Tamandua tetradactyla: one gene and its partners. The protein of the gene in region 2 purifies or fractionates together with the protein of the main gene of each other region. This does not show direct contact. Links are inferred from orthologs where the notes say so. Each region holds a gene or a part of one and is shown on either strand. Other genes may lie near its edges.

Region 1 (7,963 bases), on a different chromosome or scaffold from region 2:
ACAGCAACGTTAGGTATACAGTATGCCCACCTAAAACAAAACCACAAAGCAACTCATAAAATGGAGCTCCTAAAGATGTGTTGTAGCTGACAATCTGATATAGTCAAAAAGAAAAAAGAATCAAGAATATTTTGAGGAACTAAAGCCAGTATTTTAAAATCAGGTTCTGCTGAATTTTTCTCCTAGTATAGAGATATTCTGGCCAAATTTTAACTTGTACTTCCATTTGTAAACTAAAAAAAAAAAAACAAAAAAACCCACGAATTATTATACTAGGCAGCTCAAATTTAATTTGAGTTAAATTGAATTAGCATGTAACATTACCGAAAAATCAGGGAAGACAAAAAATCTTATGTGAAGACTAAAAACAATTATTCATTAGAAAAACCAGATCTGCTTCAGACAAGTTTTTGGATGGGAAGATTGGCAGGGGAAATCTGGAGAATTTTAAGAATCTCAGGGAGGTACTGTCAAACAAAATATGCTTCACCCCCGCCCCCGGGGGTTAAGAAACAAGGAATAAAAACTCTTTACTGGTGGAAATGTGCTGAATATACGAACAGAACGGAGAGTGAAAAAAGCCAGATAATCCTTCTTAGCCTGGGAGCTCTTAGAGGGAGGAGACTGTGTTTTATCTTTGGATTCCTGGTCTGGCACAGAGTAAGTCAATAAAGGGAAAAATGTGTCTGAGATGAGAAATCTTACACACACACACACACACACACACACACACACACACACACACACACACACACACGAAGGTGTGGAAAAAAAGACTGTTTCCATTCCAAACGGAACCAAAATGTTTAATTTGCATACACAAAACCAAATAGAATCACTTACTTTCCCGACCAAATCTTTTTTCCAATAACCTTGACGATCTACTAAGTTTCCTAAGTATGTATAATCATAAAAAGTGGGTTCAACTTAAAAGGTTCCACACAGTACATTTTTAAAAGCATAGGTCTACCGTATATAAATGTATGGAAGAGAAAGGTGAAGAAGCTGCAATACAAACACCAGCTTAATTTTTTTTTACATTTACAAGCAAAATTTCAAATATATTCTTAAAGATGAATGTATAATGATACAGCTTACGCAATGTGACTGAGTGTGAAAATCTTGTGTCTGATGCTCCTTTTATTTACGATACTGATAGACGAGTAAAAAAAAGGATAAAAAAAGATCTTTGCAGAGTTAATAACAGAGTGGTAATTGGGAAAAAATTAACTACTGCATAGTATGGACTCTATATAAGCAGTTATATCTTAATAATTTTTATCAACAGTAACACATAACCACACCAATACTAGGGTTAAATAGTTGGGGGTGGTGGTAAGGGATATGGGGTGTTTTGAGTTTTCTTTGTGTGTGTGTCTGTTATTTTTCTCTTTGTTGCAATGGAAATTGTCTAAAATTGAGAGTAATGATGACTGTACAACTAAGTGAGGATACTGTGAGACGACTGTATACTTTGGATAGAATATATGGTATGTAAATATATACATATATCTCAATGAAATTTGCAGATTCAAAAAAAATTTCGTATAAAAATGGTAATATGTCAAAACCTCCCCAAAGGTTAACGAGATACTAAAGTTCTAAAATAACTATATTTCTCTCTCAGAATAATTTACAGGTACAAAAACTATACAATCTTTCTAAAAACAAATTTCTTACAGTTAAAACCCAACAAAATGTTAAAAGTCCACAAAATTCAAGCAGTGAACACTGACTGCAGGCACCAGGGGGCCTCCCAGGAATAACTTACTAGTAAAGGAAAAGGTAAGAAAGAGTTTCTGGTAAAACTTTGCTTCCTATTCATATTGAGTCAGACTCTTCGAAGGCTTTCACATCTGGAGCAAATACACTGTATTTAGTTACACATTAAGTACACACAGAACTGATGTTGTTTCAGATACCAATACATTAGCTGAATAATCTTCATGATTTTCCAAATTTAAGTACATATTGCTTCACTGCTGTAAACAATAATCTTCAGATAATGTGAAAGCAAATAATTCACAGACAATAATTTGACTATCGAACAAAAAGGACTCTAAATTTTAAAAAAGGCTTACTTAGAACTTTTCTACACACCCAGAAAGCAATGCGAATCTAAGGGTAAAGGGACTCATTGGCCGAAGATTGCGATTAACTTTGAATAATATCCTGTAATGAGTCAGTATGTTTAATTCCTGGCCTCTGTGCCCTTCCCTCACACATCAATCTAAAATTTTCAATAAAAACGCAAAGGGCCCGGAAACTTCAAACGTTGCTTAAACTTAAAAGGGAGGCTTTTCAACAGACCTCTCCTAACTATGTGCCTAAATTAAATTCTGCTCAAACCTGTTAAATTCGCAAAGTCTAACCAATCCCTTCAACATACCTATGTACATATTTCAGATTTCTTGCGGGAGGTCTTCCACTTCGTCAAAGATTTTACTTCCCTTTTTTTTTTTTTAAAGCTAAATAATAAACGGTAGAATTCAACTCGCGCTAATACCACCCTCTTCCTAGCCGAGTTCCTTCTCCAGCATCATACAAAAATGCAGAACAGCAGCTTAAACAATCACACTACGGAGTTTTTTTTTTTAAGTATATAAAATTCACCCCGAACAACAATGTGAGGGAGCCAAAGGCCAAGGCACAAAGAAAACCGAGAAGAAACGCGCGTTCCAGGGACATAGAGCGCACACCACACGCACCCTCGCTCCCTCCTTGGAAAGGGTCCCCACCGCGAGCAGCAGCAGCTCCCCGCCGCCCCGGAGCGGCGCCCTCCGTCCCCGAGGGTCCGCGGGGAGAAGTACCCTCCTGCGCCCTCCCCGCTGCCTCTGCCCGTCCGCCCCGCTGCCTCCGACTTCGGGAAGAGAGGATCGAGGAGGGCCCCCCCGCAGCCCGCCGGCCCGGCCCCGCGCTCACCCTCCAGCAATCGGGTGATGAGGCTGTCCACGTTCAGCTCCCCGTCCGCCATTTTGTCGGCACCAGGCTCTCCCTCCCGGCAGCGGGAACAAGGGCTTCTCGGTGGCGGAGGGTGCGGCGACGGCTCGGCCTTCTCTCACCTACAAGCCACACGGCGTTTCGACCCCAGGCCCGACTCCCCCCTTCTCCCGGGCCCTCCCCCCACCCCCTCCCCACCAAGTCGTGCGAGCGCGCGCACACTCGGAGGAACGGGGGATAAATCAATAAATAAACAAGCGGGGCCGCACGCACCGGGCCGCGTCAACCCCGAGCCTCCACCTCCCCTTCGGCACCGCCCAACGCCGCAGAGCTCACCAGCGCCGCTCCGCGCGGCACTTCCCCGCCACCGCGCCACGCAGCCCCCGCGCAGGCGCACTGCCGCGTTCCGCGCGGCCCAGGCCTCTGCGCAGTCGCACTGAGTTCACCCACCGCCCCCAGCTCCCGCCGGCGCCGCCGCCTTCGCGCAGACGCGTCGCCCTTTCCCTCCACTTCCACTGCGCCGACTCGCCGCGGTCGTGCAGGCGTCCTGTGGGGTTTCCGGATTTGCTGCGCCGAGGAGGCCCCCGTTACGCAGAGCCGGCGTCAGCGGGGCGGCCCTTTCCCCCTCATCGCCTTCGGGCTCAGGGCCTTCTGCAGCGCAGTTGGTGTGTACCCTTTCCGCCTCGCTCTTCTTTATTTCAACTTAATTCCATGATTTTGCAAGCAAGTCCTCGCAGTTCCGTTAACCGAGGAACGTAGGCCCCACTTACCCATGCTTGAAACCTGGTTTGCGCATTTGGGTAGCAAGAAGAGGTGGTCTGCTGGAAACGTTTGACATTGCACACAGTTCACAAGGCCAGGTCCCCAAGTGTCCCTGGATGAATGAATTGAAGTGAGCCTCGAAAGGATCAGCAATAATTATACTTTACATGCCTTTTACGCGGAGCTTTCACATATCTTCCATCTCCATCTGCCCCGTGGATGCTATTTTACCACAATATTTTGTGTTTGTGCCTCTATTATATTGTTTACTTTTCTTAACGTTGTAATTGTTTATACATTTATCTCACACTCGACCGTGGGATCCTAGAGGGCAAAAAATAAGCATTTGTCATGGCAGCACCCACCGAGTATCTGGCGCAGAGAATGTGAAGGAGAAGGAGAAAGGAGGGGGCTCAGCTGGTTGCCCAGCTGTTCTTTCCACCACATGTATGATGCGCGAGAGGGAGAGTAGCCGCCCAAAGAATCTAGGCAAGCCAGAGTTTTCTGCCTGTTCCGGGAGGTGGCCAGACCAAAGGCCTTTACCTGTCCTCAGCTGTTTTTCCAAAAACTCAGGGAGACTCTACAAGGTCGTGACCATACTTCTTCCACCCATATGTCACTATAATACCTAACATTTATTGAGGTCCTTGCATGTACTGGGCACTGTTTTAAGTGTTACACACTTGCTATGGCATTTAATTTTTGCAACAACCTCATGAGGTAGGTATTATTATTATTTCTATTTTTGTGGATAGGATTCATTGAGACACAAAATGGTTAAATACGTCTACTCAAATCACAGTAGTAAATGGCAGATCTGGGATTCAAACCCAGGAATCTAGCGACAGAACCTGCACCCTTTTTTTAAAAAAATGCAATTTTACTGATATATGTGTTTGCATACCATATAATCATCCAAATTGTACAACCAGTGATTCACGGTATCACTATATAACTGTGCATTCATCATCGCAATCGATTTTTGAACAGTTTCATTACTCCAAAAGAAAAAGAATAAAAGTGAAAAAGAACAGCCAAAATATCCCATATTCCCCAACCCCCTATTACTTATTTTCACATTCACACAGTCACACATTAAAAGCTCTGTAGTTATACAGTCATCTTCAAGATTCAAGGCTCTTGGATTACAGTTCAACAGTTTCAGGTAGTTCTCTCTAGCTATTCCAACACACCAAAAAACTGGAAAGAGTTATCTATATACTGCATAAGAATAACCTCCAGGATGACCTCTCTGCTCTGCCTGAAATCTCTCAGCCACTGAAACTTTATTTTGTCTCATTTCTCTTCCCCCTTTTGGTCAAGAAGACTTTCTCAACCCCATGATGCTGGTCTCGGCTCATCCCAGGAGTCCTGTCCTATGTTGTCAAAAGGAAATGTATACCTCTGGGAATCACATCCCACGTAATGGGGAGGGCAGTGAGTTCACCTGCCGAGTTGGCTTAGACAGAGGCCACATTTGAGCAGCAAAAGAAGTTCTCTGCGGTGACTCTTAGGCATAATTATAAGTAAGCTTAGCTTCTCCTTTGCAGAAATAAGTTTAATAGGGGCGAACCCCAAGACTGAGGGCTCAGCGTATTGAATTGGTTGTGCCCACTGCTTGAGAAAATATAAGGTATTCCCCAGATGAGGACGTTGACTATTTCCTTCTTTCTCCCCAGTCCCCTAAGGGGACTTTGCAAATACTTTTTCATTTTCTGCCCAAGTTACTCTCAAATATATCGCGGCATTATACTAACCTGTACAAACCAACAGGATCTTACGCACTATTCAAGATTCCATGTAATTATGGTGTTCAAATAGACTGCTCATACAAGTTAAATTAGATAACGTGCTACCCAAAATATAAATTTTGCACCAAATAAACATTCCTTCCTTTGATCTCATACAGAAGTTGAAGTTTTAAAATATGGATGATTTCATCCTTTACCCTGTATTCTGATTTACTTTAGTCCTGTCCAAGTCAGCTTCATTCACATCTCTAGTTGAAGTGTGATTACTTTTTCAACTCTTAAAATAGTTGCTGTATGGGATAATGCTGACTTTCATAGCTTCAGAGCTCTAACTCAGAGTCTCAGATGTCACATACATACCCGAAGTTTCAGGAAACAACTAGTTTATACACAAATAGCTCAGTATCTCAGCATTTAGAAATAACAGTTACAACTCCTGAATATATGTGACTGCTATAAGAACTTATGATCTACGACCCTTTACAAAATGCTCCAACATGATAACTCATGCTCTGGACTTCAATTCTCTGAATTTGTACATTATAGTTAGTCTGTGTGATTGAGGAATGACAATTTTGTCTTTTTGTTTCTGACATTTCATTCAACATAAGTCCTTACGGGTTTATTCACATAGGTGCATGTCTAATGACTTGATTCCTTCTTGCAGCCACTCAGTAGTCCATTGTATGTATCCACCACAGTTCCCCCTTCCATTCCTCAGTCAATGTACCCTTAGGCCACCTCTATTCATTGCGAATTTGGAACACTGCCCCATAAAAACCAGTGTGCAAATATCCATTCTTGTCCCCACTCTCAGTTCCTCCAAGTATACATGTAACTGCCAGGTTGCGGGCTCCTATGGCAACCCCACCCCTAGCCTCCTGTGGAGCCACCACACTGCCCTCCAAGGGGATCCACCATTCTACTTCCCTACCAGCAGTGAGTAGGTACAGCGCTCTCTCCGCATTTTCTCCAGCACTGTATGTCTCTCTTCATTTTTAAATAGTTTTGCTCATACATCATGTACTCCAACCTAAGTAAAAAGTTAGTGGTTTCGGTAGAGTCACATAACCACGCACTCACCACTACAACCTATATGAGGAAATTTCCTTTTCTTCCACAAAGAATCCACACCCCTGCCCCTTATCCCCTGCTTATTGACACCTAGCCTTGACATACTGACCTTGCTACATTCAATGGAAGCATATCACAGCATTACTGTTAATTATAGACCCTATATGCATTGATTATACTTTTCCCCCTATACCATCCCATCTTCCACATCTTGCAATGTTGACATTCATTTAGAACCTGCACTCTTCACCTTTACAACATTATTCTTTCATTGAATGTGAACTGAGACGCTTAAACATGCATGTGCTATATCAAAACTTGGAGAGAAGAAACTGTCAATTTGGGGGGAAAAATAAAGCATTGTTTAAACAAGTGCTCTATAATGGTCCAACTGATTTACAGAACTCTACCTTTTTTTTTTCTAGCTCCCTCTCCTTCATTTCAGTGTTGAGATTGTGCACTTACACAGAAGATAGGAGAACAGGCAATAAGCTGTGGTGTAGGTCCTGTCTAAAGTAGTTTTCACAGACTCTTTACTATCAGTTTACTTTGAGGTAGATAAGGATGAAGAAATGGTGCCTCATCACGCTATCTTGTTTGGTAAAAGTATATTTGTTTGTGCCCTACTTTATTCCAGATAAAGGGATTCAAGGAAACATAAATTCATGCAGTGGGATAAATTTAAAAATGAGTACAGAGAAGAATAGGACAAAAGAAAACTGAGAGTGGAAAAGCTAAGACGAAAGGCAGCAGTAGTGGATACAGAATACTTGTTGAGGGCCTATGGGTTTGTGAGAGGTAAACCACAGATATGACCCTAATCTTGATCAGTTGCAGGAGGAACAGATATTTTGATTGAGTTGGAACCTGGGTCTGTATAAACCAGCTTGTGCAGCTGAGTACCACTTCCTGAATCTCGAAGTGTACACATATTAAGAACAAGGGGCATCCAAAGGAAACTGGATTGCACAAAGGGAAAGTGAGAATCTGAAAGAAAATTTCCACAAGCGGGGAAGGAGAGAAGCTGGTCTCGGAATAGAGTTTTGGGGGTCAGAGGGATTGAAAGAGGCTGTGAGTATCGCCTATATATTTCCCCTTTTCCACCCCACCAGGTTTCCAAAGCCTTAGAATCCTGGGAAAGAAGGAACTGTTATAGAAATGAATGAGCCATATCACTAGGGGGCCCAACCAACTTTTATGTGGATCTCCTTCTAAAAAAACTAAACTATGTAAGTGTTCAGAATTCTTCAGATCTACTATATATTATTTAACACTCCAGCTGCTTCTGGGCACTGTAATCTAAAACATTAATTTTTCAAGCAAATCATATGACCATTCAATTAGGTAAGATAAATAAAGACTACAATTAGCCTCACATCAACTTAGGTCAAATTTGCCCTTAAAGTAGCCTTATTTCTTTTTTCAGAGTAAAACAT
Region 2 (8,282 bases):
TGGCATTCAGAATTCATAAGCAGATGGAAATGAAAGCTTCCCTATCTCTTTCATTTCATTCTTACCCTACTCGTATCTCCACAATTGGCCCCACCCTCAAAGCTAATTCCCCCTGTATCAGCCTTTACTGTTATATTTGGATCTTGGACAGGGACAAAATTATTTTGTCTTCTCTCACCGTATCCCAGATTTGCAGTTTGATTTGTTTTCCATCAATGTTGACCATACGGGCACCAAACTCCACACCTGTCAATGAATTCAAGAGAAAGAATGTGATCCTCATGAACAAAAGCCATGTTGAGTGAGATGTTCTTGCTTTTCCTCAATTAATTAATGATCCATCCTCTAAGTGCCACTCAGCCCATTATCATTGCCTACTTGCTCCAATTAATTATGTCCATTAAAGTTCTTGATTTCTCTTCTGGTATTTAAGAAAAAAAAAAATGTGTTCTAGGTAATAGTGATCTTGGGAATGCAACCAAAAGCAGACATAGGAATAAAATAAAGAAGCCAAATAAAAAAGGTGAATACATTCTAGCAGTGCTAGATAACACTTAAATTTGATCAGGCAACATATAATTTTGTAACTTATTCAAAAAACATCTGAAAATATTTCCTATTTTCTCAGAGTCACTCTCTAGTCCTCTATATGAAACATTTCATTTTTGAAATTCTAGAACTTTATGAGAAAAGAACCTATCTAAGAAATATATTCTCAAGAAGTATACACTTCAGAGCTCTAAGAATGCCTGGAGTTTACTGAAAATAGCCTCCCTTACTTATATGGCAGTCTGAATAAGTCTTGGTTTATCTGGCATTCATCTCCTCTTAGGTAATGTCAGGTCAAAAATTAAATACTGAAGGTCATTTACATTAAAATAGTTGGGTCATAAGTCAATTTGTCCTATTTTCTATTTTCATACAGTACTTTGCACAAAGCATGAAGAATTCTGATTTCCAAGTAAGAAAAAGCATTAATCCAATTTGTGCTAAAGGCTTCCTATGCACTTACTGAATGCCCCACGTAGGGATGCAGAATACAACACAAAGATCTCAACTCTAAGGTGCTGCAGTCAATAAGAAAGATGTAAGAAACACCTCTTACTATTCCAAATTGTTTCATGAGAATCAAGTGCAGCTTTTGAAAGACATTACTAAATTTATTTTTTCCCTGGACAGTAGGAATACAATTTTCAATGGGTAAGTATTAAAAAAAATAAGACTTTCGAATACCCTTAAGGCAATATCCTCCAGATATGATCTCAGAGACCCTTACATTTGGTATATGTTTTCTTTTTCTTTTTTTTTTTCTTGAATTAATTTTCTATTTTTATTTTTTTAATTTTTAATTTTATAATGTAACATATATACAAAGCAAAGAAAGACAAAAGCAATAGTTTTCAAAGCATTTGTCAACAATTAGTTACAGGACAGTTCCCAGAGTTTGTCTTGGGCTACTATATCACCATTTCAGATTTTCTCTTCTAGCTGCTCCAAAACATTTACCACTTTTTGTTTACTCATTCATCTATTTTTTTTTCTTTTTTTTTAAATTTTTTATTAATTAAAAAAAAATTACAAGAAAGAAACACAAACACTCCCAACACATACACTGGGCAATTCACAATATCATCACATAGTTGCATATCCATCATCATGATCATTTCTTGGAACATCTGCATCAATTCAGAAAAAGAAATAAAAAGACAACAGAAAAATAAAACAAAAACAGAAAAAGAAAAAAAGAATTTTACATACCATACCCCTTACCTCTCCCTTTCATTGATCACTAGCATTTCAAACTTAAATTTATTTTAACATTTGTTCCACCTATTATTTATTTTTATTCGGTATGTTCTACTCATCTGTTGACAAGGCAGATAAAAGAAGCATCAGACACAAGGTTTTCACAATCACACAGTAACACTGTGACAGCTGTACCATTATACAATCATCCTCAAGAAACATGGCTACTGGAACACAGCTCTGCATTTTCAGGCACTTCCCTCCAGCCTCTCCATTACATCCTAGGCACCTGACTCTTTTTTTTTTTTTTAGAAATCATACCATTCTACATATGCAATCAGTAATTCTTAACATCATCACATAGATGCATGATCATCGTTTCTTAGTACATTTGCATCGGTTTAGAAGAACTAGCAACACAACAGAAAAAGATATAGAATGTTAATATAGAGAAAAAAATAAAAGTAATAATAATAGTAAAAAACAAAAACAAAAACAACCAGACAGACAAAAACAAACAAAAAACAAAACAACAACAACAAAAAAAAAAACCTATAGCTCAGATGCAGCTTCATTCAGTGTTTTAACATGATTACTTTACAATTAGGTATTATTGTGCTGTCCATTTTTGAGTTTTTGTATCTAGTCCTGTTGCACAGTCTGTATCCCTTCAGCTCCAATTACCCATTATCTTACCCTGTTTCTAACTCCTGCTGGACTCTGTTACCAATGACATATTCCAAGTTTATTCTCGAATGTCGGTTCACATCAGTGGGACCATACAGTATTTGTCCTTTAGTTTTTGGCTAGACTCACTCAGCATAATGTTCTCTAGGTCCATCCATGTTATTACATGCTTCATAAGTTTATCCTGTCTTAAAGCTGCATAATATTCCATCGTATGTATATACCACAGTTTGTTTAGCCACTCGTCTGTTGATGGACATTTTGGCTGTTTCCATCTCTTTGCAATTGTAAATAACGCTGCTATAAACATTGGTGTGCAAATGTCCGTGGTATATGTTTTCTATTCTACTGCCTTGTTTGTCTTGGTAGAGAGGACTGAACTCAACAAGAAACACAGCCTTTATTGGACTCTGGGAAAACGTGATTGATCATTTTACTACTATACTTTAAAACCTGTCACTTGTTCTCTACTGCTTCAAGAGTTCGAAAATTTGGGATCTAATTTTTTTTTCTAGTTTTATTTCTCACCACTCTCCATTTCAAACTCCATGCTCCAGTCATATTGAAGTACTCAAGCTTTCACAAGTAGCCTGATCTCTGCCATCCCTGAACTTCTGAACATTCTCTAACCTAGTCACTTTTCTTAAAAAAAAAATTATTATATCCATAATCCCTCTGCCTGGCTAACTTCTGCTCATTCTTCAAGTTTCAGCATTTGTTGACAGAGGCGGCAACCTTGGCTTCCCCTTTTGTAAGGGGAATTTGCTTACCAGTATCTGCCCCAATTCCCATCTCCATTCTTGCAAGGAAGGCTATAAGCTACTGAAGGGCAGACATGATGTTACCTTGCTAAGCATGTATCCTTAGTATATGACACATCAGTATTCAGCTAAAATTCATTAAGGAAAAAAAAAAAACCTGTTGCTTCTATCTGGTAAACACTTTTCTAACCCTCAGTTATTTGGCTTTGAATAATCCTTTGGGAAAGATTTCTATACTGGTAGGATTTAGAAGTGGCTATATGGTGAAAATGGGAAGCTAGGACTTTTATGTAGAGACTGCATTTTTACAGCAAGAAGTTTAAGTGTTTTGTTTTGCTTTGTTTTAATCAGGGATGGGATTATGGAGAGTACGGGAAGTGGGATGCTAAAACTCCTCTAAGCCATGCCTTGCAACAAATGAGTGTGGGATGTTTATACTTTCGAAGATCACCAGGTTTTGTTTTGTTTTGTTTTTATTGGTACATATTATATATTCACATACTGTGTAATCATCCAAAGTGTACAATCAATGGTTCACAATATCATCATAAAGCTGTGCATTTATCATCACAATCGACTATTTTTTTCTTTTTTTGTGAAAACTAACATATATACAAAAAAGGAATAAATTTCAAAGTACATCACAACAATTAGTTGTAAAACAGATTTCAGAGTTTGGCATGAGTTCCAATTTCACAATTTTAGGTTTTTACTACTAGCTGCTCCAAGACATTGGAGACTAAAAGTAATATCAATATAATGATTCAGCAATCATAGGCATATGTTAAACTCTACCTTCTTTGTATAACTCCACCATCACCTTTGTTCTTTCTCCCACTCTTTAGGGGTATTTGGGTTATGCCCATTTTAACTTTTTCATGTTGGAAAGGGCTGTCAATAATATGGTTAGGGCTAGTTCATGCTCTGGAGAGGCTGGCCCCTCCACATTTTAGGACTCATCTGGTCTAGGGACCCATCTGGAGGTCGTAGGTTTCCACCAGTTTGTTTTTGGAATTCTATCATACTCTTTCCTTTAAAAGGAAAGTTATCAGTTTAATCTGCCTTTTTTATGCTTCTTCCTCTCCAACATACAAAAAAATCCATATAATGGTGATTACTTTGAGAAACATATGTGAGGTTAGTAATAATGTACCGCCAAGCAGATGAGCTCTTGAATCAGCAGTTATGCTTTCGTGGGATTTTCCATAAACATACAAATTGAGTTTTAAAAAAAAATCCTGAGGCAACCAATCCCGTATCTCACATTCATCGGTCAAGTTAACGTCCAATTATTTCTACCCCATTACACTCCTCATTTATCAGTGCTTGTTTTAATTCATTAACTATAACTTTGTTCTATCATAAAATAGGAAGTATTTTTACTTTGAGCATTGAAGGCTGCTAACTTTTCACTTGAGCTGTTCTCGGACAGGTAAATGCACTTACCGATTGTGAGGTCGTGGACAGGCTGGAACCGCTTGTCGGTAAATTGCAAAAGGAGACATGATTTGCCCACACCTGAAAGAGGACGAAGCGCGTTATCGCAATCACGCAGTCCCTGTGTGGGCTTTGAGAACCCGGGAGGGGGAGCCCCGAGTCCCGCCCGCTTCGCCCCGCCCCCGCCAGCTCTTGGAGTTACCCGAACTATTAAATGAGCCCCGCCTTCGCGACCCGATTTGGGAATTTAGGAACCACGCCCCAGCCTCAAAAGCGGTCAACCCGCGGTTTACCTGTGTCCCCGATGATAATGTACTTGAAGAGATAAGCATAAGTCATGGTCCCAATTCCTCTGGATTCCGGGTCCGCCCGATTTCTATAGCAACTTACCTACGGCCTCTCTAACGGCTCAATCTACCGATCTCCTTATTTTCCGCACCCCCCCCCCCCCCCAACTCTCGCCCCTCTAGCCTTGATCACATCTCTATTGCTCTTCCCAGAAATCCTCTCTCGGTTTGGGACGGTGGTTATACCCCGGCGCCGCCTCCAGGGACGCGTTTAGCTCCTCTAAGTGCTATTATCCTACCAAGCTCCAGGGGGCGATACCTACCCTCGGCCTTGCGGGCCTGACTCGCTGCGGCCCTGCTGTTCACCTTCCAATCAGTGGAGAATGATGTTCTTCATTACGGAAGTGACGGAAGTTCCGAGTCTGGTGGGGGCGGTAGGAGCGATGAGGGGACTGAGACGGTGGTAGCGGTTGTGTGAAGATGGAGGTAGGAACTGGAACGCTGAGAAGGCTGACGAGAGAACGTGGCCCACGGGTTTGAATAAAGCAGAGGAGGGAAGCCGGGAGGAGAGGCGGCTGACCCGGGAGGAGAGAGACAGCAGGGTTTGGGGAGTGTTGTCAGAAGGTCGGGGTCAGAATCCGTCGCTCCCAGCTGACTCCCTACCCGCCCCCTAACTTATCCCCGCGGCTTTCTTTTGGTTTCCAGTTTCCCGGAGGAAATGACAATTACCTGACGATCACAGGGCCCTCGCACCCCTTCCTGTCAGGGGCCGAGGTGAGCACGAGCTGATGACGCTGCGGGGGGTGGGGGGTGAGGGGAGGGCCGGAGGCAGCGGTGGTGGTAGGGTGGGGGCGGGAGAGCGCTGACGCGGGGGACCCGGGGCTGGGAATCAGGGTCCGCGTTTGGTGTTTAGGGAAAAGTGGTAGCTGTTTCTCGAACCTCTGAGGACTATCTGGGGAGGGTCCCGGAAGCTGCTGTCATCAGAAAAATAGGACGTTGGAAAGCGATGATCTGTTTGAGGAGGAGATTGATACTGAGTTGGAAGACAGTGGAATAGTCTCCTTTCGTAGGGAGGAAATAGCTACAACCGTCTTGAGGGATAACAGCAGGAAGAAAATGTTTTTGTTAAAGAAGCTGAAATGAGGATATGAACTTACCTAATGGATTAAATGTGGACATATGTTCATCCTTGAAACGAACTCTGTTGAAGGGGCCTTTCTTTCATTTAAACTTCCTATTCAGTAACAACAGCAACAGCAAAATTAGTAATTATGTTTATGTAGATGGCGTCACCATGTTTTGCTGATGACCGGAGGAAAGGAAAGAGGTACCAAAGGACATGAATGGAGTTAAGTAGAACATGTGTTTCTGCTTGTGGGTGACTCAGAGATTGAGCAGATTACTTCGCCTTTGTTATGTCACAGTTTTCCCATCTATCAAATGGTTGTATTAATAGTTGCTTATGATGTTGTGAAGTAGAAGTAATGGTTATGGTGAGGTCCTTTAGTATTTGTGGAAAAGTTTTGGTTTAAATATTGTCGTAACATGGATATGTATTACTTGCCTAGGCCAGGCAAAAGAGAAATATGAAACAGTTAAAAATAAATTTCTACTTCCCTGTGAGTGTGAAGTCGAAAGCCATCTACTGTCTTTTGAGGATTTAAAATTTTTTTTTCAAAAGCAGTACAAGGCATTTGTTTTGGTACCAAGAATTCTCAGTTGCTTTTTTGTGTGGACTTATCCTATAATAAATCCTAAAATTCTCCTGGATGAGAATTAGATTGACAAGGGACCATTGCTAGTTTTTTAACTTCTTTATTGCTGTTGTCATTTATTATACTTCTCCTAAGCAGAGGAAAGTATGAATCAAAGATACACCAAATTTAGAAGTGATATAAAGCTAAGGATCTGTTTGGTGCTTTGCAGTCTCTTTCAGTACCAGTTTTTCCCAGAATCAGTTCTGTACAGTATAAATTTCATTATTTGGAGTATTTGTAAATTTCACATTGGTCACGTCCATGCAAAAGTGCATTTCAAAAACTAAATATGAATGCTTTCTATTTACCCACCATTCTTAATCTTTTGCCTCTTAAATGAAGTCAAGTAATCTATAAACTACATGAGAGGTGGCTCCTTTTTACAATGTCAAGAAACTCCGAGTTTGAATCTGTTTATTGTGTGTGGGTTTGTTTTTTTTGTTGTTGTTGTTGTTGTTTTTTTAATAACAAAACCTGTTTTGCCAAGAAGCTCCTTTTAAAAGTAAGTTTTAGGGTCAACTTCTGTAGCTTCCTATGGTATACAGAATTGTTAACTGTTTTCCCTTTTCTCATTACAACTTCTACCTCTTTCCTTCCCCTCTTTTTTGTTTTTAACTTTTATTTTGATTCGCTTGTGTTTTTTGTAGGTAAAGGTAATATTTTTTTTAATTATTTAGAAGTAGAGTAATTTTTAAATTTTCGTACACGTAAAGGGTAGCTGTCCACAAAAAGTATTAAGTGTAAAAGGAAACATTGGAAAGTTGGACTTCATTGAAATTGGGAACATCTTTTCATCAAAAGATATCATTAAGAAAGTAAACTGGCAGTATACAGATTGGGAGATATTTACAGTACATTTATCTGACTCATATTCTGAATGTATCAGGTACTCCTGCAGAGCAAAATAAATAATCTAATTAAAAATGGGCAAGATTTGAAAACAGGAACCTCACAAAAAAGGATATCCAAATAGTCATATGCATATGAAAAAAGTGCCATCATCACTCATCTGGAAAATACAAATTAAAATCATAGTTACATGCCCTTGTATTCCTACCAAGTTAGTTAAAATGAAAGGATTGACAAACTAAGAGTTGTCAAGAGTATGGATAATTCAGTCATAGTTGTTCAGAGTGTGGATTGGTTTAACCACTTTGGAAAACTGACAGTATCTCTTTAGGATAAAAATATGCCTACCCTGTGACTCAGGAATAGCACTCGTTGGTTTATATGCAAAAGAATATATGCACATATATTCACCAAAAACATGTATAGGAATGTTCACAGCAACTCTATTCATAATAGCTAAACACCAGAAACAACCCAAATATCTATCAGCAGAAAAATAGATAAACTAGTACATTTATAAAAAGCAATAACTGCACAGCAATAAAAAAGAGCAAACTGCTAATTAATGCAATAACTTGGATGATCTAAAAAATATATTGTTGCATGAAAGAAACCACACAGAAGCTATATGAACACTATATGAGTTCATTTTTTAATGAGGTTTAAGAATAAGCACAGCTAAACCATTGTGGTAGAAATCAGAAGAGTGGTACTTCTTGTGAAGCAGAGTATTGACTGGAAAGGGACATGAGGAATTA
Region 3 (7,857 bases), on a different chromosome or scaffold from region 2:
CAAAAAGGTTCATCAAGGAAAAAAGGGATTTCACATCTGGGGAAGGTGATCAGACAAACAAAATAGCCCCTTCAGCCATTTACAGCTGGACTCAAAACTTTCTTTAAAATTCTCCAACAACATGAACTCCACTGATCATGCTGTCACCTTCGATAATCCTAGTAATGGTGGGTTCAGATTATTTTTTAATAAATTTATCTTGCTTTAGTGCATAGGCTGGAAAACTTCCTGTAAAGGCTCAGACAATAAATATTTTGGGCTTTGCGAGCCTCCAGTTTCTATCTCAGCCACTCAACTCTCTGCAGTAGCCTGAAAGCAGTTGTAGATAGTATGTAAACAAATGGACATGGCTGTGGTCCAACAAAACTTTATTTCCAAAAACAGACAGTGGGCTGTATTTGGCCTGTGGGCTATAGTTAAGGAATATAAATAATTCTGAATTAAGCTTACAATTCCAAATTCAGGAAGTCTAATTGAACTGTCAATGGTACTGAACTATCAATTGTACAAGTTTGATAGTCAACCTATTTATGAGGAGACCCTTTTGTAAATATGAAGAGATTTTATATAAAGGAAATAATTGTCAATATTTAACTTTCAGAGCTACATTTAGATGGTTTGCTTGTAGTAGTACTTGCTTGTAGTGGTAGCTTTTCTTTTGTCCACAAGTAACTGTTAGTGTTACTGATTTAGAGTCTCTCCATTCAGCCCATTAAAACTTCCAAAAGTTCTAAGAAATGATCATCATGATGAATATACAATTATGTGATGAAAAAAAATTATTGCTCTTTTCTTTGCTTTGCATATATGTTATACTTCACAATAAAAAAGTTAAAAAAAAAAAAAAACTCCCAAAAGGTTCAATCACACTTTATATGCCATAAGTAGAACCCACCAAACACATACCTGTTGCCTGACTGAATAAAGGAGTGCCCCAAGGATAAGCTATTCTGGTGGTGATAGGGCTGATGAGCTAACCTGTATACGGAGCATGGAAGATGATACCTGTGTGGGCACAAACAAACTGTTCCAAGAGCTTCACATTCTATGAGGAAGCAAAATAGAGAAATATGAGCAAGAGAGGGAGGGGAGAGTGGCAAGAATTTATAGACTCAAAGTATTTAAAATCCACATCCACATGGACTACCTTAATCCTCCCACACCTTTTTAAATCTACCCTCTTTCATGGCCAAGTTTTAGCCCCATCAATTCACTGAATGCATTCTTGAAAATTCCAGCCTACTTTTCCCCTTTCCTGGCTTTTCAGCCATTTCACATGCACATCCTATGTTCTCTAAGACTTATACAGAATTCTCCTCCGCAGGATTAAGTTCTAATAGCAGCCAAAACATTTGGATGATCAAACATAGAAATTTCTGGACTCACCCAGAAAATGCAGTATACACAGCAATCTGTATATAAATATTATATATAGTTTCACACAGTATATAATGTATATATTGGCTAAGTACAATTTTACAGTTTTAATTACACAGAATGACCCTGAGCCAACAAGTGTGCTCACAGGAAACGGGATCCCCAGGGAAGAGTGGATGGCAGGCAGAATCATCTGCACTATTTAATTTTTCATTTCTCTCTGTCCCTTGTTCTCTTCTCATAACCAATTGTATACAACTGAAATGGAGAAATTATCTGCGTGACTCCACCATAACCTATGTCCCTTAGAGCAGATAGGCACCTCAATTAGCTGGCTGATACATGAATGTGTGCTATCTGGCTTCACTTCCAACACCTGCACTGCAAGCTCAGACAAGCACACTCCTGTTAGCATTTTTATAAAGTTTTCTAGCTGTTTAAGGAGCAAGACATGTCCTTTATAAAATATTGAAGGCTTTTTGAAAAAGAAAGTCAAGTGACCTCTATAACTTGCTTCATATATCCACCATCCAGCCCCAAATCCCTTAATCTCTCCCTTAGTGACAAGGCAATGAAAGGAAACCTTAAAAAAATAAAATCAGTTCAATAATTGCTAATAAATGTGATGCTTATAAAAAAGTCTTTTGGGCATTTCTCTTACCTGCCAAGAAGCTTGTGAATTTCACAGGTAAGGCAAAGTTTTTTAGTATAATCCATAGTAGGGGGGGAAAGGCTGGAGGAAGGAGTGCCCTTATAGTGCCAGAAACCACCAGTACAAAATAGACTGCAGGGACACCAGTATATGAAGAAGTGTGGAGCATCTGCAGTAATTTCTTCAGTATTGCAAAGAAATGGAGAAAAGAAATATGGATTCTCCTTACCCGAAAGTCGACATGCAACTTCTGATCCCGGCAGATGGGGCAGGGATTCCCAGCAACTTTATTCTTACGCTGCAGGGAGAAAAAACTGGCAGGTGAGATATCCAAAGCCCAGTCAAAAAAAAGTGCTATTGTCATTGTCACTATGGCCGCTAATTCCACTCCACATCTCATCCATGTTTCACCCTAGAAACTCACGATACACATTTTTCGAGTCCGCTGTGGAGGTACACCACCTTTGTGATTGCGACGGTAATCAGCCCAGACAGGGCGAGAACCATAGCGATTTTGGTATTCTGAAATGAAAGATGGTACAAGTTAATCCTGGGAGAAGAAGTCTCTGCTCACTTTCATCAGACCCCCACCTAACTCTCCCCTTCTCCATTGAGAGGTACCTTCTGAGTCCAAATATTTCCAGGGTTCATCCTTATAAGGAGAAATAGGAGCTGGGGGCAAAGAATCTTTGTCAGAGGTGACTTTGGTGCAGAGTACCTGGAGTGGAACCTTGGAAGAGGGGGGGAAAAAAAAACGAGAATGAATTAAAAAGAGGGACTCCATTGTTTCACTTACTACAATTTGAGGAAGGGGTGCATGCCCACTGCTTTAACGAACTATAGCAGTAATATATACAGAAGGTAATATTTTTGTTGGGTTAATAAGTTGACATAATCAACAAACACTCTCCCTACCTCCAAACGAATCCTGAAAATAGAAGCTAATGTCAGGGAATTATTAGGATAATCCCTATCCTACCAGGAGGCAAACCTATTTGAAAAGACAATTTAAAAATCTGGCACCTATAAGATATTACTTTTGGAAATGAATTGAGTGTCACAGAGGAAAAAGAAAGGAAACGGGCAGACGTTTGGTCTCTTGGAAATTCGTGTGGTGGTGAAAGGATGCATAGGACTGATGCGTCTCCAACTCAATCCAGAGTCACTGTGTTGTCCAGCCTTATAAAAAGTTGAAGCTCAACATTCCAGAGAGCAGGACAAACTCGAGTCCTAACGCAGGCTTTAAAGCTACAAGGCCTGTTATTAAATCCGTGATGACCCCAGTCTCAACACTCTTGGAGTCCCTCTTCAGGGAGTGGCAGCTGGGCAAGCCTTCTCATCTTGCCCAGCTCCACCAAGGTACCTGTCCTGCCCTACCACGAACCTCCAGGGTGGTGAGTACAAGAGGTTGGAGGGAAATCTCAATACAAAGGACCGAGTTGAAGCTCTCGAGTATGATCTGATAAGAAGTTGACTTAGTGACATAAATAGAGTTGGGAAACTGGTTTCTCAGGTTGTGAGGATGCATCCCAATTTTACTGGGAAATAGGAGGACAGCCAGAAGCTAGGGTCCCTCAAATTAAAGACATTCCAGGTCATCACAGATTTTGACACCATCTGTAGAGTTAAGAGACGAATGTGCATAATAAAGGTCAATTCGGCCACCTAATTCTTTAGCTGAGATAGTACCTTAGGAAGAGGATAACCGCAAACTCTGGTTCTGCTTTCGGTTCGAGATTAGAAAATGTGCGAAGTATTGTGGCGGGTAGGAATGGTGGTGGCAGCAAAGCGTTCCCGAGCCCACCCAAACATGAGCACATGGAAAAATCTCCCCCTCCACCTCTCGGATCCCCGGTAGTGGAGCAACGACCATGAAAGAGTATAATTTAAGTTGGGACTACACAGTGTGTTCTGAGGAGGTACCTGAACTCCGTAGGCACCTCTGAGGAGTGGAATCTTAGGAAGCCGCCTCAGCAGCGTGTTCAATAAGGAAGCTGCCATGTTGACGCAGCCCAAACGCAGGAAAGGCCGGAAAGGCGACTGCGCATGTCCCGGCAACTGAACAGGTACGACCGAGGACGAGCCCGCAGTACGGAAGCCGGCCACGTGCTTGCGTCAGGACGGAAGCGTGAACGAGTAGCCCGGGGAGAAGCCAATTTCATCTGCGTCACAACTTAATTAAGCATCAAAATTATATTTCTCTGAACCAGTCACTACAACTTCTAGGTCCGATACGTAGAAATAGCATTTTTAGCAATTTTGAAGGCGATTTTGGGTCGAGTTCTTCTAAGTGCGCATGCGCCGGGTCCTTTCTGCCAACCGAGGGTGAGACTTGTTCACGCAGGGCGGACGTGGTGGAAGTAGAGGAAGGGGCGGTGCTAGGCTCTCCGGTCACGCGCATGCCGGGGAACAAGAAGGAGGTGGAAGGGGGGGGAGTAAAGGGGCCTAGGAAGGCGGAGGAGGGATAGCCAATCAGCGAGCGAATTGTCGTTCGTGTGGACCAATGAGTTCACGCCTCGCGCACAATGTCTCGCGACAAGGGCGTTTCACAAGCACGTTTGGGCGCGTTGGGCGGCGTCCTGCTATAAAAGACTCCGCCCGAGCGGGCAGCCGCCATTCTGGGGTTCGTTTAGAGGTAAGTTTTGTGGATATCTTATTGGGTGGATAAAGTTTTGCGGAGAGCGTTGGCCTGTGAAATGGGGGTCGGGTAGGTTCACTTGAGGGCCACATTTTATACAAAGCGGCTGCGTTGGAATTGGGACGTGGGCCTTTATTTCGGGGTTTGTGATACTTTGGGGTGTGTTAGAAGCAACCCGTACTGATTACATCTTTCTCCCTTGTGTTCCTTTTACCCCAGGTTTGAGTTTTCTCGGAGAAAGACAGGCCGGCCACGAGGAAAAAGAAACAAGCCGCAGCAACATCTAAGCCCTTGAAAGGATCCTGAGAGAGGGGGGAAAGGGAAAACAGCAGCCACCAGCCCAACCACTTGTGTCTTCTGCCCCTTCTCACCCATCTTGCCCCCCACAAGCCCACGCTGCTTGGGACTTGAAATCTGTGGCCGAAGGACCGACACCACATAACTTCAAAAATAATCAACCACCCTCCCTTCCAAAACAACCCAAATTCACTCATCCAGCGTTTAATTTTTTGAAACCACTCAGAATTTTTTACTACGAACCCCCCTCCCTAAATGGAGTTGGGTGGGGGGGAATGAATACTGAGTTGGCCTTTATTTTTTTTAAGAGACTTTTTCATCCAATGAGGCCCCCCAAATAATTGTGTTTTGGGTCCTGGTTGGTGGTTTTATTTTTTTCTCCCCAATTTTAGCCCCCTCCCCCCCTGAGCCCGAGGTGCTGACGTCGCAAAAAAATTGGATAGTAAGTGTCGAATTTTCAAAAACCAGCCTTGCAACAAGAAATCAACCTTTCCCGTTGTGAAACCAAAAATAATGAGAGGAAGAAATGAGATCATAGAACAAATAGAACTGGAGAAGGACCAATCCGGTCACTTGATCTCCATTAAAAAGGGCCTTTGGCTCTGAACAGTCTTGTTATCTCTTCCCTACCACCTGATCTCTTTCCTGTACTGCTGCAGGAAAGGAGAAAGGTAGAGGGGGGGGGCCAGCAAGTGAGGATTTTAATGGTTAACCCTTGGTAAAACAGCAAATTTCCAGACTGCCGAAGCCGTAGTGCTGGCTTATGAGGAGGAATGGTTACCTTCCTCTGGTTAGCAGTCTTCAAAAGGGTTAATGAGCTCACATACAAAAGATGGTGGATCTTGTGGCCCCAGTAGTCCCACTTCTTTGTGTGTGAGACAAGTAGGGGCGCCTCTCAATTTGCCAGATTAATAAGCAATCTGTACATAAAGATTGCAGGGTAAGGAGATGGGCAGAGAAATAATAGCTGGCTATGACTTAAATGATTTTTAAATCCTCTCAAATTTTAATGTAATTTGTTTGGGATATATTTGGCTAAAATAGGTGGCAATCTAGGAATAAAGATTGCAAGACACTTAATTTAGGGCAAAATATAACAGTGCCAATACATACAATAGTTGGGAAGGTAAAAAAAAATGTCTTGTAATTGTTGCAGATTGCATAGGTTATTGAAAAGCAAAAAAATGATTAACATTTTAACTTGATATATTTTGGAGGGGGGATACAGTTAAATAGCGGGTGAAACGGGAAATGTGGAATTCAGGAGTATAAGTTTAAAAGCCATTTAGTGCAATTGAATGCTAGCTTTCTAAAAGATTTTGTGTCGTTAAAAGGAATTTTTTTCTTACCTGCTTCAATATGGCGACTTTTCCTTGTCCTTTTGTTTCTTCCAAGCGGCGTTGCAGGTTGTTTCTTGACCCATTTTTCTCCTGTCCTCCCACTTCAACCCTATTTGTTGAGTGGGGTCCGGGTCCTCCCCCTTTCCTTTTGTTGGGGGGGGGTGGTGGTGGTGGTGGTGGTGGTCGGTGGCAGCAGGTTAAACCTCAGTTGCAAATTCAATTCTTCCCTGTAGAAAATTGTTCTTTTTAATATTTGTTTTTATTTTCATCACGCTCTTAACTCAAAAAGACAAAGATAGTTTAGGTTTTTTTTTTTTTAAGATGGGGCTGATTTTTGTTTTGTTTTGTTTTTAACCGAGAAAAGGGTGTTTTTATACTGGAACCGTAGCTGCCGGCAGAGCCGGGGTGGCTTTTTAATTTGAGTCCTCTTCTCCATTACAAAATGGCGTCCCAGCTTCTTTGTTGTTTTTCTCACCCCGTTTGCCATCCAGAGCTTAGGGCCGCCCTAGAAACTTGGTCAAGGGGGAGGAGCAGCATTGAAAGGTGATGTAATCAGCTTTCTTCCTCCACTCTCCACCCTCTTGAAACTCCACCCGTGAGCAGATGACTTGGGCGCTCCCTAAGCAGGCTGCTGCTGAGGAGAAGACAGGAGAAATTTTCCTTATTTATCTTAAAACGAAAAAAATCAAACCTCGTAGGAATTAGGTCTTGAGGCTGTCCGTCTCCTTGGGCAGCTCTAGTTTTTTATATTATTAGAGCACGTTGCTTTTATTTTCACCTGCACTCAACACTACTGCTTGGAAGTTTTCCCTGCCTCAGTTGCCAGGGATGGAAAACCAGTCACATTCAACTGTACTGGGATCTTGGGGAGGTGGGGGGAAAGAGTGTGTGTGTGTGTCGTATATGTATATATGGGTGTTGGGGAAAGACACAGGCTTGAGAAAGAGTAATTTGAGTAGATAAATGAAATTGAAATGTGCCATTTATGCTCAGGCACCGCTCCTTGAACCTCCTGCATTTGTTTGGTTGTGTAATGAGAATGGGGGAGGTTGGGTACTTTAGGACTTCCTTCTAAATCAACCTTATTCCCACCTCTTGGTTTGGGGATAAACTCTTTTGTGTTCAGTGCTGTATCACGTTCTACAGTTGCTTAGCTCCTGTACATTGGTACTAAGATGAGAAGTGAATCTTTAGGAAAAGAGGCGGCAGTTGTAAACTCAAGGCAGGGGGAATCAAGCTACGGTTTCTGGTAAGCAAAACCTTTCTGGTATTAATTACATTTCACAACCTTCATTTCTTTTTCCCAGAGAGCCACCTTTTTTTGAATTTCTTTTTCCTTCCCTTCTAAAAAAATCCCTTAACATTGGTAGAAAAAAATTCTCTTTCCATTTTCAACTTGTGCAGTGCTGTAGCAATTGGTGCATGTTTGAAAGCCATGCCCTTTCTGAGGGTGATACTGGATACCCTGTCTCTTTCTTCCCCACAACTTTACCAAATCACAAATCTTTCTCAGTATCCATAAAGTCCTGCATTGAAGGGTGGAGGTTCTAGGC

What was found. The genes of interacting proteins can lie anywhere in the genome.
Region 1: the proteins of TOX4 (region 2) and PPP1CB purify together in Homo sapiens (affinity purification with mass spectrometry; 5 studies listed by BioGRID and IntAct, with this or other methods). This does not show direct contact. The link is inferred for Tamandua tetradactyla from reciprocal best matches to the Homo sapiens genes TOX4 and PPP1CB.
Region 3: the proteins of TOX4 (region 2) and PPP1R10 purify together in Homo sapiens (affinity purification with mass spectrometry; 3 studies listed by BioGRID and IntAct, counting the BioPlex papers as one, with this or other methods). This does not show direct contact. The link is inferred for Tamandua tetradactyla from reciprocal best matches to the Homo sapiens genes TOX4 and PPP1R10.

What each region holds. Positions count from the first base shown.
Region 1 is NC_135329.1:12,889,139-12,897,101, reverse strand, and holds the start of PPP1CB (serine/threonine-protein phosphatase PP1-beta catalytic subunit), read right to left. Parts: upstream 3,373-7,963; 5' UTR 3,277-3,372; exon of another isoform or gene 3,214-3,276; intron 3,063-3,213; 5' UTR 2,975-3,062; coding exon 2,923-2,974; intron 1-2,922. UniProt on the Homo sapiens protein: Protein phosphatase that associates with over 200 regulatory proteins to form highly specific holoenzymes which dephosphorylate hundreds of biological targets.
Region 2 is NC_135340.1:34,969,811-34,978,092, reverse strand, and holds the start of TOX4 (TOX high mobility group box family member 4), read left to right. Parts: upstream 1-5,133; 5' UTR 5,134-5,398; coding exon 5,399-5,404; intron 5,405-5,623; coding exon 5,624-5,692; intron 5,693-6,201; exon of another isoform or gene 6,202-6,261; coding exon of another isoform or gene 6,262-6,267; intron 6,268-8,282. Other genes in the region: RAB2B (ras-related protein Rab-2B), read right to left, coding at 179-246, 4,641-4,712, 4,925-4,970. UniProt on the Homo sapiens protein: Transcription factor that modulates cell fate reprogramming from the somatic state to the pluripotent and neuronal fate. In liver, controls the expression of hormone-regulated gluconeogenic genes such as G6PC1 and PCK1.
Region 3 is NC_135331.1:85,495,511-85,503,367, reverse strand, and holds the start of PPP1R10 (serine/threonine-protein phosphatase 1 regulatory subunit 10), read left to right. Parts: upstream 1-4,485; 5' UTR 4,486-4,664; intron 4,665-4,670; exon of another isoform or gene 4,671-4,886; 5' UTR 4,887-5,406; intron 5,407-7,857. Other genes in the region: MRPS18B (small ribosomal subunit protein mS40), read right to left, coding at 979-1,045, 2,259-2,327, 2,454-2,551, 2,651-2,759, 3,953-4,030.